Linked DNA regions of Kluyveromyces lactis. The protein of the gene in region 2 purifies or fractionates together with the protein of the main gene of each other region. This does not show direct contact. Links are inferred from orthologs where the notes say so. Each region holds a gene or a part of one and is shown on either strand. Other genes may lie near its edges.

The links. Proteins that work in one complex are often made in the same cells at the same time.
Region 1: the proteins of BFR2 (region 2) and ESF1 purify together in Saccharomyces cerevisiae (affinity purification with mass spectrometry; 3 studies listed by BioGRID). This does not show direct contact. The link is inferred for Kluyveromyces lactis from reciprocal best matches to the Saccharomyces cerevisiae genes BFR2 and ESF1.
Region 3: the proteins of BFR2 (region 2) and NOP14 purify together in Saccharomyces cerevisiae (affinity purification with mass spectrometry; 3 studies listed by BioGRID). This does not show direct contact. The link is inferred for Kluyveromyces lactis from reciprocal best matches to the Saccharomyces cerevisiae genes BFR2 and NOP14.

What each region holds. Positions count from the first base shown.
Region 1 is NC_006041.1:1,888,496-1,893,641, forward strand, and holds ESF1 (pre-rRNA-processing protein ESF1), read left to right. Parts: upstream 1-1,818; coding exon 1,819-3,702; downstream 3,703-5,146. Other genes in the region: RTC5 (Rtc5p), read right to left, coding at 1-1,308; CDC40 (Cdc40p), read left to right, coding at 4,029-5,146. UniProt on the Saccharomyces cerevisiae protein: Involved in the 18S rRNA synthesis. Required for the early cleavages at sites A0, A1 and A2.
Region 2 is NC_006039.1:886,628-891,595, forward strand, and holds BFR2 (rRNA-processing protein BFR2), read right to left. Parts: upstream 3,077-4,968; coding exon 1,496-3,076; downstream 1-1,495. Other genes in the region: ERC1 (Erc1p), read left to right, coding at 1-1,388; ATP5 (F1F0 ATP synthase subunit 5), read left to right, coding at 3,977-4,597. UniProt on the Saccharomyces cerevisiae protein: Involved in endoplasmic reticulum to Golgi transport. Involved in a protein-transport step blocked by brefeldin A, which disrupts the Golgi apparatus and its incoming protein flux. May also be involved for mass growth or cell proliferation.
Region 3 is NC_006039.1:1,426,020-1,431,494, reverse strand, and holds NOP14 (snoRNA-binding rRNA-processing protein NOP14), read right to left. Parts: upstream 3,745-5,475; coding exon 1,231-3,744; downstream 1-1,230. Other genes in the region: autophagy protein ATG9, read left to right, coding at 1-1,189; proteasome regulatory particle lid subunit RPN5, read left to right, coding at 4,301-5,475. UniProt on the Saccharomyces cerevisiae protein: Involved in nucleolar processing of pre-18S ribosomal RNA. Has a role in the nuclear export of 40S pre-ribosomal subunit to the cytoplasm.

The DNA of each region.
Region 1 (5,146 bases), on a different chromosome or scaffold from region 2:
GTTTCCTGTCTTGAATGGGTCCGCATCGAAGATCTCTTGTCTTGGATGAAGTTGGATAATTTTTGTAGACGAATCACCAAACAAATCTTTATTTGATACTTTCCATGGGTCGCGAATACAAACAGCAAATAACAATTTTCGTTTTTTCTTACTTAACGTATCCAAATGTTGATCTTCACTTTTTAACTTACCATATTCTTGCAGAAAGTTTCTATACCTTGGATTTTTCACGGCATAAGCATCGCCATCTTCATCGTCCTCGTCACGAATTCTCATACCCTCTACGAATAATATCGTAGGTGCCATCCACTTGAAGACCTTAGATTGGAAAGATCTCATAGAAAAGCCCGATTCCCTTCCAACATATAATTTCTGGAACCTGGAGAAAACAATCTCCTTCGGTAAAAAAGTTGCTAACTGCGATAGCTCAGATTCATTTACAATTTTAGTAGGATTTGAGATTGGTTGAAGAACGTCCGCGTCTACGAGATCTCTATCCATATAAAGAACATGTTCCATTAGCATTTTCAAGGGATTTAAAAGATTAGGGGCAACATCATTAACGGCCATGGAAAATTGGGTATATGTGATTGATGAATCCAAACAGTCTGACATTGATATAATCTCGGGGTTCATTGTGCGTACAATATTAAGAGCTTGATGTTTGAAGTCCTCTAAGCTCTTCGCCAAAACATCATTGTCAATTTTACAATTGTTCAAAATGCAGCAGCGAGAAAGAGCCAATATCAATGCCAAAAAGTGAAGAAGATTATTTGCATTTACTTTCAATTCATCAAAATCAGTTCCGTTATAAGATCTAATGACCCCTTTCCAATCCTTACAATCAGATAGAGCCGAAGAGTCCATGAGAGGTTCAGCTTTGATATTCTTTTCCAAAGAGAGCGTAATAAATAGCATTTTCAAATCATTGTACTTTTTCCAATCGGTGTACTTGATGGCTCTTTCCTTGACTAGTAATAGCGTGGCCTTTAACAAGGTTTTGAAAGTAACCTTTTCGTAGGAATCTTGTAGAAGTGGAAAGTTCGCTAGAGTATGAAACATATTCATAAATACCGATAACATTACAGCACTATCTTTCGGGATATAATACATTCTGCTAATATCTGAAACCTCGACATAATCGTTTAGTTCTTTGCCCTCAGGAATATTGTTCTTGAACGAAATTAGTTCAGCAGTAGTTAATTGTTTTAAGCATCTGTCATTGAAAAAATCCATTAAAGATTCTCCTTTTAGTTTAGATTCATTTGTCCTAGCATTTTCATGCTCTTTAGAAGTTGATTGGCCCATTTTGCATACATTATTGTGACAGTTATCCTTATGGCTTTCCTTCTTAGCACCTTTTCAGAGTATGTGTAAGAGTAAATCCTTAAATATACCTTAATGTAAAAAGAGGAGACTACGTACTAACACAAAGAAACAAAATGTTAACATATAAGAAAATGGTTGGGAGCAAGAAATTCCTGACAAGGTAGACTAGAGCCAGCCTGTATACATGGTATATGAAAGTGAAAACATATAGTTCTTCCGACCTGTAATTGCTCTTTACGGCTCGATTACATCTGTATTTGGCTCTTTTCACGTGACCGAAGTTCACCAACATTATTTTTTTTCTTTTTGATTTTAGAGTTTTTTTTTTTTCTTTTCAAATTATGCCAACCTCATCTCATCTCATCTCATCGACACCTACTAGTTAATCAGTAAGTTCAAGATTTTAAACCTTATGCACATCTAGTTTCGGTATCGTGCCAACGAAATCAACTAAGTGAACAATTTAGAGTCATATTAGTATACTAAAGGATGAATTCGAAAGGGGAGAAAAAGGAGAAGATCACTGAAGATCCAAGATTTTCTGGGATTCATAATGATCCTAAGTTTAGGTCAACTAAATCCAAGAACTTTAAGATCAAATTGGATGATAGATTCAGTAAACAAGATCTAGAAGTCAGACGTAAAGCAAAAGTTGATAAATATGGTAGAAAAATTGTGGATGCTAACAAGGATGTAAAGGATTTTGATCGTTATTTTACCAAGGAAAAGCCGGAGGACAAGGAGGATGAGTCTAATTCATCCGAAAGCAGCGATGATCAAGAAGCTGAAGCTGCTGTTCATGCAAAATCTGTTGATAGAGCTCGTGGTGAACCTCCTGCTGATTACGTTTCTTCTTCTGATGAAGAGTCCTCCTCTGAATCCGAAGAAGAATCTGGGGACAGTGACATTGAATCAGAAGAAATCGAACTAGAAGAGTCCAAACCTGCTAGTGGAAATGCCACAAATACGTTGGCTGTAGTGAACCTGGATTGGGATCATGTCAAATCTGCTGATTTGTTTGTCACATTTAAGTCTTTCGTGCCTAAGGGAGGAGAGATTCAAAAAATTGCCATATATCCAAGTGAATTTGGTAAAGAAAGGATGCAACGTGAAGAGATCGAAGGTCCTCCAAAAGAATTATTCCAGTCAAAGAAATCCAAGAAGAATGATAAAGATGATGATGAGATTAATGTCGAATCAATTTATGAGGAAGGAGACGCAGAGGACTATGATTCTAAAGCACTTCGTCGTTACCAATTGGAACGTCTAAGATACTATTATGCCGTGGTTTACTGCAGCGACATTAGGACAGCCGAATCAATCTATCAAAACTGTGATGGCACAGAATATGAATCTACAGCCAATGTCTTTGATTTAAGGTATGTGCCTGATGGTATGGAAATGGATGATGATCCTCGTGATGAATGTACCTCGCTTCCAAAAAATTACAAGCCGGCACAATTCAGTACAGATGCCCTTCAGCATTCCAAGGTAAAGCTTACATGGGATGAAACTCCTGCAGACCGTGTGGAAATATCTAAAAGAGCATTCACTCAAAAAGAAATTGAAGAAATGGACTTTAAAGCTTATTTAGCCTCCGATAGTGAAGAATCTGAAGTTGAGCATGATGATCAAGTTAAAAATAAACTCAAGGCTTTAGTAATGGATTCCGTAAAAGTGGGGCAAAAGTCACTATTTGATCAAAAGGAAGATGAAGACGATAATGAGGCTGATATGGAAATAACTTTCACTCCAGGCCTGGATGAGTCTGGCCAACAAGATACCAATGATAACGAAGAGGAAAGCACCATTGATAAGATTAGACGTAAAGAAAAAGAAAGACGTAAGAAGAGAAAGGACAGAGTCAAGGAGCTTAAGAAGGAATCAGAAGCCAAATTAAAGGAGAACCTTAAGAAGAAGAAAGATACTTCTCACAGCATCGATGACGATAAGAAAAAGGGAGAGTTAGAGCTCTTAATGCTAGATGAAAATGAGGGTGAATCAACAATTAACAACAAGGCACACTTCAACATGAATGAGATTCTCAAATCTGAGAAGGAAAAATCCAAAAAGGCCAAGTATCAAAACAAGGAGAAGATTGTGGATGATGAATTCACTCCAGACGTTAATGATCCAAGATTTAAAGAGGTCTTTGAAGATCACGATTTCGCGATTGATCCTACTCAACCAGAGTTCAAGAAGACACCAGCTATGGAGAAGATTTTAAAGGAACGTACAGTACGTTCAAGCAAAAAATCTAGGGGCAAAAAGCGTAACCACGAAATTGCAAATACTGAACATAGTAAAGACATAAATAAGATCGGCGGTTTAGTTGAAAAACTTAAGGCCAAGAACAAAAGAACAAAACACTAATTTGCAAACTTGTGGACACTTTATATCAACCCAAAGACGTCCACATCTTATATGTATATATTCAGCATTTGATTAAAGCATAAATACATCATTTCACTTAATCATGCGACTGTATCATGGCATGGTCTGTAACTTTAAGTCATTTCCTTATTTATCCAGATTTGTACGTCATATTCTGTGTGTGAACAAAAAGAAAAAGTGCACATTATCACATTATATGAAATAGGTTCATCTTTCTAAAGATTATCTAAAATTGTAGGTAATACACGGACAAACCGATAAACTTACTAGATAGACTCTGCCACTGCCATAATATCCAGGGAATAATGGGGCTGGTACAGGGTTATGAAAGTGAGAGTAGTGATGATGGCTCATCTGTAGCTGTGCCTAAGAGATCGTTAAAAACATCAAAGGCTGAATTGAAGTCCAAAAGACTTAGGAGGAACGGGAAAGGACCATGGGCAAAATGGCAAGGATCTAGTGACGATGAGATCGAACAATTATCAAAGGATTCAAATGCTTCTAATTCCTTAGATTTAGGTGGTGATGAGGATGCAGTGGCATCACAATCACTTGAAAGAACGAAATTTGTAGGCAGTACTGAAAAAGACTATCTGGGAAGATGCATTTTACACCCCCCAGTAGATATTCCATTAGAATTCAAGAAAGAACCACTATCATTCAGGTGCTTCCTTCCGAAAACCAAGATAGCAGAATACTATGGGCATAAGAATGGTACTACATCATTACGATTCATACCGAAAACAGGACATCTCTTACTTTCAGGCGGTAACGACAACATAATAAAACTATGGGACTTTTATCATGAGAGAGAACTATTAAGAACGTATGAAGGTCACTCTATGACTATAAAGGATTTGAACTTTACAGATAATGGACATTCTTTTGCCAGTGCATCATTTGATAAATGGGTTAAGATCTGGAACACCGAAAAAGGTATAATTGATAAAAGATTGCGTTTCAACTCTGTACCGAACTGTATTACATTCCACCCAAAAGACAAGAACCAACTAGTGGTAGGATTATCCAACTCCGAAATACGGCACTATGACTTGAGGCTATCAGAAAACCATGGGGAAGTACAGAAATATGATCATCATCAGGGTTCTATTTTGGCACTAAAGTACTTCCCTGATGGTAAGAAGTTAATCTCGTCGTCAGAAGATAAAACGGTCAGAATTTGGGAGAACCGAATCAATATTCCTATTAAACAAATCAGTGGCACAGCACAACATTCTATGCCATGGATCGATATTAATCCACAGGGTCAGTCTTTCTGTACACAAAGTATGGACAACACCATCTATACGTACTCAATGTTACCAAAGTATAAAAGACACCCAAACAAGACATTCAAAGGTCATAATACTACAGGTTATGGTATTCATTTTGCATTTTCTCCTGATGGCCAATACATTGCATC
Region 2 (4,968 bases):
ACTCCGCTCTAATTACATTAACTTTTCTAATGGAATACTCTTTGGCTATTATTTCTTTATTTGTCATCGGTCATGTCTGTAAATCAAGTGATGCCTTAGCTTCCGCATCTTTGGCGGTAATGACTTACAATATTACTGGTTTAGCATTTGTGGAGGGTATGGCCACTTCTTTGGATACCTTTTGCTCACAAGCGTATGGTGCCAAGAAATATGCAAAAGTTGGTTTATATTCATTCCGTTGTGCAGCGATGATAATGACAGGTATTTTCCCTGTGATTATATCATGGTGGTTCAGTGCTTCATGGTTAGGTTATGTGATTGCTGAACAGGATATCCTCCCAGAGATACAACTTTTCTTGAGAATAATATCGTTTGGGTTGCCAGGGCTGATTTTTTTCGAAACTGGTAAGAGATTCCTTCAATCACAGGGCCATTTCCAAGCAGGAACATACTCCTTGTTGATTACAGTTCCAGTTAATATTATTCTAGTGTATTCATTTACTCGTTACATTGGATATGCTGGTGCTCCTCTAGGTATCGCCATATCGCACTGGTTTATGGCCTTAATGCTACTGGTTTATTGCAAATTTTGGAGAAAGGAAACTCTGATTTGTTGGTATCCCATGTTCTCTTCAATGTTCCACTTTAAAAGATTATTTTGCAGCTGGAAACCTATGTGGAATTTGGCATTTCCTGGTTTACTCATGATTGAAGCAGAGTACCTTTCTTTCGAAGTATTGACTATTATGTCTACATATCTCGGTGTCAAGGCTATAGCAGCACAATCAGTCGTATCGAACATAGGATCTTTGATATATCAAATCCCATTCGCAATGGGTTGCGTAGTTTCCACAAGGGTTGCTAATTATGTTGGGACAGAATCGGTCAACAACGCGAAGATCTGTATTAATACGTCGTACGTGATAGCAGCGTTTGTAGGGATTGCGAATTGTTGTTTGATTTTAACAGGTGACAAGAATTTAGCGTATTTGTTCACTAAAGACAAAGAGGTCGTTGAGTTATATCGTCATGTCGCTCCAATTTTGGCAGTTAACCAATTATATGATGCATTCACAACTTTTAGCGCTGCGATATTACGTGCACAAGGACGGCAGCAAGTTGGCAGCCTGTTAAATATCATAGCATACTATTTTATCGCATTGCCTTTAAGTGGATGGCTAACTTTTGGTAAATTTCAGTTGGGATTAAAAGGGCTTTGGTACGGATGCGGTACCGGGATCTTATTACTGGCGTTTGCTTTGAGCTATTGTGTTTTCAATTCCAATTGGGAAAACATAGTGGAAGAATGCCATAGAAGAGAAAAAGAAGAAAATGAGGTTGACTTAGAGAGTATGGCAAGTAACATGAGCAATATTATCGATGTTTGATTTGTCGATGTCAGTTTGTTGGACATTTTGAATGCCGTGTACATATTTTAATTATAATAATAAACAATAGATGAAAAATAAATACAAGTTGAAGGTCGAACTCCAAATTATCCGAAAATTTGAATATCGTCATTTTTGATCTCTTCGTCTTCCTCGTTGTGCATCGTGTCAGCTTCCAATTCATCGTCTTCATTGAAGTTGATCTTTTGACCTAATAAACCAGCAAAGAATTCATCAATTTGCTCATCCGACCATTTATACCCAGTATTAACTGATGCTTCATAATTGGCAATTGGTTCTTGAATAGAGTAATTTAGTTTACGACCCTTTGAAGCCTTGGTGTCGATGTTTTTCTTGAGCTTGTTTTCAGAGCGAGAAGTGATGGCCAAAGTAACACCATTGGATTGTTGAGAGTTAGATATTTTTTTCTCAACAAGATCATTCAACAAAACTCTGTAAAAATCTTCGTCATCATAGATATATGGGTTTTGGGTAAAATCTAATGCATTGTTATCCTTCCTTCTTGGATCGTAATTCTTTGGAATATCCAAATTATTTTCTTCTTCGATGTCTCCTTCTACGTTTTCCTCCAGTTGCAATTCTTTTAGTAGACCTTTTTGTAAATCTTCATCAAACAACAAAGGTTTAGTATTGCTTCTATTGAGTTTTGTCCTTTTAAGTAATCTTGGCATATCAGCAAGTTGGTTATCCACTTGTACATCAGCTGACTGGTTGATCGCTTTAAACTTGGAGGCTTGCAGAAGAGATTTTCCTGATGATGCAGAAACTTTTGCTGACCATTTGTTAAGTACGGCAGAACGGTATGATTTTAAATCAGAATCCAATGTTACAGTTTCATGTACTAGTTCCTTAAAACTTCTCTTTTTGCTGTTATCGAAGTCAGAAGGGTTCTCAGATTGGTTTATGTGATCACCGATTTGGAATTTATGCCTTACTGTAACACACTGGGTCAAAACTTTCTCTAAAACTTTGAAAGTACTAGTTAGCAATTTGGAGTTATTTTCATCTAGAAGTTCATCCCAAGATTGTTGAGAAAGTGGTAACTGGTTTGAAGCGGATAATGCTTTTTGCAACTTAATTCTAGAGTCTAGAATTTTATCGAAGAATTTATTCTGTTGTAAGATGGCATAACCTTTGGAAGCATCTCTCTGAGCGGAATGTGCTAAATTATTAATCACTTGTTTAGTTTGCGTCTGTACTATCTTGGCCAATTTCTCTTTCTTCATCGCAGTCTCCTCATCTTCCTCTCTATCTTTCTCTATTTCTGACTCGGAAGTGGCTTCAGATTCGGATACATCTTCTGAATCGCTTCTAAAGGATACTGCATCACTCTCTTCAGATCCGGATTCAGCTTCAGACTCACTTTCTCCTTGTTCAGGAGCGTCCATTTCTTCGTCATTGAACAGTTCTGCTCTAGACCCTTTGCTCCCGACGTATTTCTTATCCTTTACGGCCAATCCTTGATCGACCACATTTCTAAGTTTTGACTTTCCTACTGCCACATAATGCTGTTTCTTCAACTCTTCTTCGCTCTCATCGCCAGAACTAACATCTGAATCGGACCCACCATGTTGAAATACACCTTCATCATTCTCAATGTCGAAATCTTCAACTTGTGGTTTATTCGCAATGTCTGCGATTTGTTCGGCCAAAGACTTTTTACCCATTTAATCTGCGTGTATTTTACGTGTACTTCACCGTCCTCACTTACAACTCACTATTGAGTACAGCTGATTTATCCATATAAGAGTCTCTCATCTCATCTCATCTCGTCTCATCTCTCAAACATCAACTTTCTTGAATTTTTCAACTACAAAAAAGAAACTCCAGATTACCTTTTCGGATCTTCAAAAAGAAGAGGAAAATATATAGATCACGTGCTATTATTAAATCACGTGATTGTAAGATAGCGATTCTTAGTCTCAAACTCTCGATGCACCAAATATCCAATACAAATTACTTTTAAGAAGCCTCATAGCGTCTATTAAGGTCAAATATATCTATTAAAAGTGAAAGCATAGTGTTTAATTTCCACGTGACTCGCAACCAATGAAAACACGTCATCGTTTCCTACGACTACTGAGGAACTTAGATCGTGTTTTTTTTTTTTTTTTTTGGACCTCTTTGGCCGGAACAAGAACACAAGAGCAGAAACGAAACAGAGACAAAGAAGAACACATAGGAGGGAGGATCCGATCAAAAACAGAGAAAGTTTTGAAAAAATATAGGTAAAGGAAGGAAAAAAAATTGAAAATTTATTGAACTTTCAATATTTCCACACCTTTAAGAAATAAATTTGTAATTTACAGGAAAAGAAGCTTTCGTTCTACGTTAGCTTATTTGTATTTTTTAAGTGTATTTGCTATTTTGTTAGTGATTCTGCATTGATCAGATTAAGACAAGTCTCTCTTTTCCGATTAGGTGTGTGTTTTGTTATTGCCATTGTACCAAACCTTATCTTAAGCTTTAAACTTCATTTAATCTATTGAGCAAGTTTTCTTCCAATTGTTTGAATAACCATAAAATCATTGAATTATTGAATCAAAGAGACCACTATATACAGAGTCATGTTTTCCAGAGTATTTGTTCGTTCTATGGCAGCTTCTGCCAAGGCTGGTGTTAAGCCTCCAGTGCAATTGTTCGGTTTGGATGGTACCTATGCCACTGCATTGTTCACTGCTGCCTCAAAGACCACTTCCGTTGAAGCTGCTGCTTCCTCATTGAATGCTTTGAAGGAAACTGTTGCCAAGGACACCAAGTTGACCAGCATTTTGGAAAACCCAGCCTTGTCTGCTGAAGATAGAAACATTGTTGTTGACACTTTGTCCAAGAAAATCAATTTGGATCAATCCGTTCAAAACTTGTTGAAGGTTTTGGCTGAAAACAACAGATTATCCTTGTTAGAACATGTCACTTCCCAATTCTCCAAGTTGACTGATGCTTACCATGGTCTTGTGCAAGCGACTGTTACCACTGCTCAACCTTTGGACTCTAAGTTGTTCAAGAGAGTGGAAAAGGCCTTGGCTGCTTCCTCTTTGGTTGGTAAGGGTAAGTCTTTGAAATTGGAGAACGTTGTCAAGCCTGAAATCCAAGGTGGTTTAATCGTTGAAGTTTCCGACAGAACCGTCGATTTGTCAATTGCTTCCAGAATCAACAAGTTGAACCAAGTTCTAAGAGAAGCTATTTAAACGATATCCCAAAACCTATAAATCAATTATATGAACGAGGAAAATATATCATGAATTTCATGTATGGGGTATCTTCAATTTTATTTCCCTTCTCAAGGGAGAAATATGTGTTCTATAAACTACACACAGTGAATAGAACGTGATTAATAAACGATTCACATCTGAACTATGATTTTATATTTCAACGATACTTCTTTTTTTTTTCTCTCACGATTTCATGATGACTTGACGTCCACTTTTTACCGATACAAGTAACTTTAAAACATTATTAAACTATTAACATTCTTCGCGCTTCGTGCCAAAAAAATTTTATTACGATCGTATATGTATAGAGCAAATACACAACGAAAAGATTCAAAAGTCGATTCTTT
Region 3 (5,475 bases), about 540 kb from region 2:
CTTGAACATTATCTTATCCCCATTCTTAGTAACATACTTTGTTCTATTGAACTTCTTCAGATATTTTAATGAGTACAAAACCTCCCCAGGATCAATAGGTTCTCGGCAATATACTCCTATTGCTGAATGGAAATTTAGGGAATACAATGAATTATATCATATTTTCCAAAAAAGAATGAGATTGAGCATGATAATAGCGGACAATTATGTCAATCAATTTCCCAATACATTATTAAGCTTGACCTTAAGCTTTATACAGTTTGTTTCCGGTTCTTTTGTGGCAATCTTGGGTATTCTGACAATATTTGATCCAGACAATTTCTTAAACTTCGAAATTACACCTGACAGAACTGTTTTATTTTACATGACTGTTTTTGGTACTTTATGGGCAGTTTGTCACAGTTCTATCAACGATGAGTATACGGTTCTCAAACCAGAGGAAACACTGGAGGAACTTGTGTCGTATACACACTACGCTCCAAAGGAATGGAAGGGGAAATATCATACAGAGGACATCAAAAATGAGTTTTGTAGGCTTTACAACTTGAGAATCACATTATTACTAAGGGAACTAGTCAGCATTATAATCACTCCCTTCATATTATGGTTCTCCCTGCCAAAGAATTCAGAAAGAATAATAGATTTTTTTAGAGAATGTACCGTCTATGAGGAGGGGTTGGGATACGTGTGTAAGTACGCAATGTTTGAAGCTACTAAAATTGACAAAGGTACCAAGGCCAAAAAACAAACTAAGAGAATGTTTTCCCAAGCAGAACAGGATGATAGTGAAACCGAATCGGATGAGGGTGTTAACAAAATGCTTCAGTCATATATGTACTTCGTTGACGATTACAAGAATGCAGGCAATGCAGTGGGCAAAAATCAGCTACCAGCTTCTCCAATCGAGCCATCTTATCACCCATACAGCTCTACTAAAGACTATTCCTGGAAGACACAATTTGCCTTAGGTAAAAACTCCAATCGTAAGAGAAATCTTAATCGATCAAGGGTGAAGAGATTCCCGGATCGTAGTTCGGACCTTGAATTAGGCTCATTGAGTGGTTCACTTATCAACAAATCTACCCTTTTTAAGGATGATATTGCTGATAATGCTGACGAACTGAAGGCGGGAAATGGTGTTATGGGCCTATTAAACCAATATTACAAAAAATCAGATCGCAATCGATGATAAAGTTTATTAATGTTGAGTATAGATTATATAATATGCAGTTAACGTTTGGTATTACGGAGCTTCTTTTCACGCTCATATTTGTTTTTCTCAGCACCTTCTTCAGTACTGATTTGATTGACAATACGTGCCATCTTGGAATGGTAATCGGCGTACTCCTTCTTCTTTTCTTCAATGCCTTGTCTTGCCTCGAATCTAGTGTCTTTACGTATTTCTTTCATAGTGAACTTACGTTCCTTCTTCAATTGCGCCTTCATCTTGTTCAACTCACTTCTGGTCTTATCTGGATCATACGACTTCTTATCTGGGTTGAAGTTCTCTTCGAATTTAGGCGTATTTGATGGAATCGCCAGTGGTTTATGCTGTTGCAACGTCAATGGCAGACGTTCTTGGAATTTCAATAGCTTTTCGATCTTTTCCACTAATTGTTTTGGTTTAGAAGTACCAGGATATACTTCGGCAGCCACGTTTAGTATGTCTTTGAAGGGATTAATGATTTCTGGGAAGGCAGTAAGATCTTTCCAGATGTTCGTTATGCACCAATCAATTGATTCTAGATTGTTGACCAGCACGGACAGTTTGATAGATTCTTGCTTTTCTAGATCCTCGGAAAATAATGAGTGTAATTCTAAAGAAGGGGCGACCTTGGACCAGTTAATATCCGAGCCTACTATTGATAAATTGTCCTCCTGTTTTTCTTTGTTTTCTAATGTTTCCCCTTTGGTACTCGGTATTAGAGAACGCAAAGATGTCTGCAAGAAGTATGTTAACTCAGGAATATAACGCTTGCTTATACGTTGATACTGGATGGCGATTCTAACCAGTATCGAACCAAATATTAATTTTTGAAGAGAATTGAACCTAATTTGTTCCAAAAACTCTGCAATTAGAAGCAGACAGGGAGTAATGACTAAATGATAGTGATCCGAAGTGGAGAACAACATACCAACAACAGAGAAAAATACCAAATCTGATGGAGATAGTCCATAGAACTGGGATTCTTTGAATCTAGTCTGAATATCTGAGATGATATTTCTACAATCCTCTGATAGTGGAATGGTAAACTTTTCTGAAAGAGTCTTTAGAATGCTTACTAGTTCGTTTTGTAATGATGCAATTTCTTTCACATTAACCGAGTAATCTTCTTCAGCCAAGAAAAGTATATGTCTGAGCAAAACAGCAGTGAATTTGCCCAATTTTTCTTTGTTTCCCTCAGCCAATTTTGGTTGGTATGTTTTTACTATTCTTTTAACTAAAGATGGATGCTCTTCGATAGGATAAGATTTCAAGAAATTTAGTAAGTCATCGTGAATTTGAGGACATGGAACAGAAGGTATAACTCTTGCTGAAGGTCTACCATTTGATGTAGCGTCGTATTCATTGTCATCATTGTTATCCTTCTCGAAATCAACGTCGTCATCCGAGTCAGGAATTGCTTTGATATATTCACCATATTCGCCCTCCTCAGAGTCGCTATCTTCCCAAAACTCTTCTCCCAAATCTTCAACACCAGCATCTTTTTGATCTTCAATGTTGAAAATACCGTTCATACGATCAAGCCTTTTCTGCTCCAATTCCTTTTGTTTGTCCTCATATTCTTTCTTAATCTCTTCATCTGTTTTAGTTCTATCTGCAGGGGCAGCTCTTTTCTCCAAGACTAACTCTTTCACCTTGATATCATAATCTGGAGCGATGTCTGTGGAGGTCGAAATCTCAGTTTGAGAAGGTTTAGTCTTTGGTAACGTCCTTAATTCAGACATAATGCTTTCGAAATCGTCATCAAGGCCTTCGATATCTTGGACCAATTTCTCCTGCGCCTTTTGTCTTTCATGTTTGTAAAATTTGGATTTAGCAATGACCTCTTGCATGACTTCTGCCTTAGTCTTCTTTCTTGCTGGCTCTTGCAAAGCGTCATCACCTAACCCTTCATCTCCGTATTGATCCGCCATATTTCTTTTACCAGCTTGTTTCAACCTGAAGTCCTCCGAATCAGAATGCTGTAACCCCAAATCACCTTCATCGAAATCATCTTCCAAGGAAAGAGACTTACCATAATGAGTCAACTTTTCACCGTACACGTTTTCATCCTCACCACCATCGCTATCGTCTAAATTGAATAACGATCTTTTCGTCGAAGATTGACGTTGTCTTTCCTTTGTGAAACGTTCCAACATGATCTCCTCGGAAGTCAAATTCTTATCCTTTTCACCAAAACGTTTATCTAAGACACCACCGCTTCTGTTCTTGCTGGACTTCTTGGCTTCGTAGAACATTTTACGTTGATCTTCACCGGCTTGTTTAGTGATTCCCGGCTTACCTACTGCAAGTTTAGCTGCAGATTCCCTCATCACACCAACCTTTTTATTACGATTTGTTTTCACATCAAACGGATTAAACTGTTCCCTAATTCTTTCAATAGTCTTCTGTCTTTCTTCTCTATCAAACTCCCTGGGAGATTTGCCCTTCTTCTTAGAACTCTTCTTGACATTGGTCTGACCAGTCAACCCATTAGCCTTTAAAGCGGCCTTCAAGTTCTTCAACTGTGAACCACCCATTATTATTCGACTTTGTAACCTATTTGCCCACAGACAAGAAGAATGGTCTAAACACAACTGATGATGCAAGTCAATTCAATACAATCGGCCAAGATACTGAACCTTCTGACAGCCTTTGATTTAATCCCATCTCATCTCATCTCATCGCTCAATTCATCTTCTGTCAAACTTTTAATGCTTTTTCACCGAAAAGAAAGAAAATAGTTACCCGCACAATAAAATCAAATCAAGGTTACCCGAATATCCAGCACAATCATTACGAACGATGATGAAGTCACGTTTTTCTAAGATTCGATTGTTACTGTTACTGAGGAAGCTTTTACCGTAGCTTGTCATTTTAAAGGCATTATGAGAAATAAAGGAAATCAGTTACAGGTGGCAAATATATACGAAATAACCGCGAACAGAGGTACAGCAGGTTACAGTGTCGGTTCTGAGACTGTAAGTTTGTGTGGTTTGAATACAGGACGGATACAGAGAAATTGATTGTATTGCATTTCGGTTTAAGTTGAGCAGGCAGAGCAAAGAGAAAAGAGTATAAATTATATCGTAAAATATGTCCAGAGACGCTCCAATTAAGGCAGAGAAAGATTATACCGAAATCTTGGACGCTGAATTTCCTAAGCTTGAGATTTTGGCCAAGAATGATTATTCCAGTGCTTTGGATCAATTGTTAGTGTTGGAAAAGAAGACTAGACAATCTTCTGATTTAGCATCTTCGAAAAGAGTCTTGACTAAGATCGTAGATGTTTTGGTCGCAGCAGACCAATGGGACCTACTTAACGACCAAATCATGCTTCTATCAAAAAAGCATGGTCAATTGAAGTTATCTGTGCAGTATATGATTCAGTCTGTGATGAAATATTTGGAAGACCTGAAGGATTTGGACACCAAGATTAAAACTATTGAGACGATAAGAACCGTGACTGAGAACAAGATTTTCGTGGAAGTTGAAAGAGCTAGAGTCACTAGAGATTTGGTTCATATCAGAAGATCTGAGAACAAGATCGATGAGGCCACTGACTTGTTATGTGAATTGCAAGTGGAAACGTATGGGTCCATGGAGATGTATGAAAAGATTGAATTTATCCTTGAACAAATGGAATTAAGTATCCTAAAAGGTGATTACTCTCAAGCCACTGTGTTGTCCAGAAAAATATTAAAGAAGACTTTCAAGAATGAAAAGTATGCAGCATTGAAATTAGAGTATTATAACCTTTTGGTAAAGATTGGCTTGCATAAGAAAGATTACTTAGAAGTGGCTCAGTACTACCAAGAAATCTACAACTCTGATTCTGTGAAGGCAGATGAAATTCAATGGAAGGCAGCTCTATCCAGGGTTGTATACTTCTTGATTCTATCGCCATATGATAACCTACAAAATGATCTCATTCACAAGGTTCAGTTGGACAACAATCTAAAGAAATTGCCATCCCAAGAATCCTTGGTAAAACTCTTCACCACAGCAGAACTAATGAGATGGCCAATAGTACAAGATACCTACAAAGAAATTTTGAACCAGGACGGCGTTGCATTCGGGTCTAATGAATCACACTGGGAAGATCTTCATAAGAGAATCATAGAGCACAACTTGCGTGTCATTTCCAAATACTATACAAAAATTACTTTGCCAAGGTTAAAGGAGCTATTAGATTTAGATGAGGCCAAGACAGAGTCGTTTATCAGTGATTTGGTCAACCAGGGTATCATTTACGCAAAGATAAATAGACC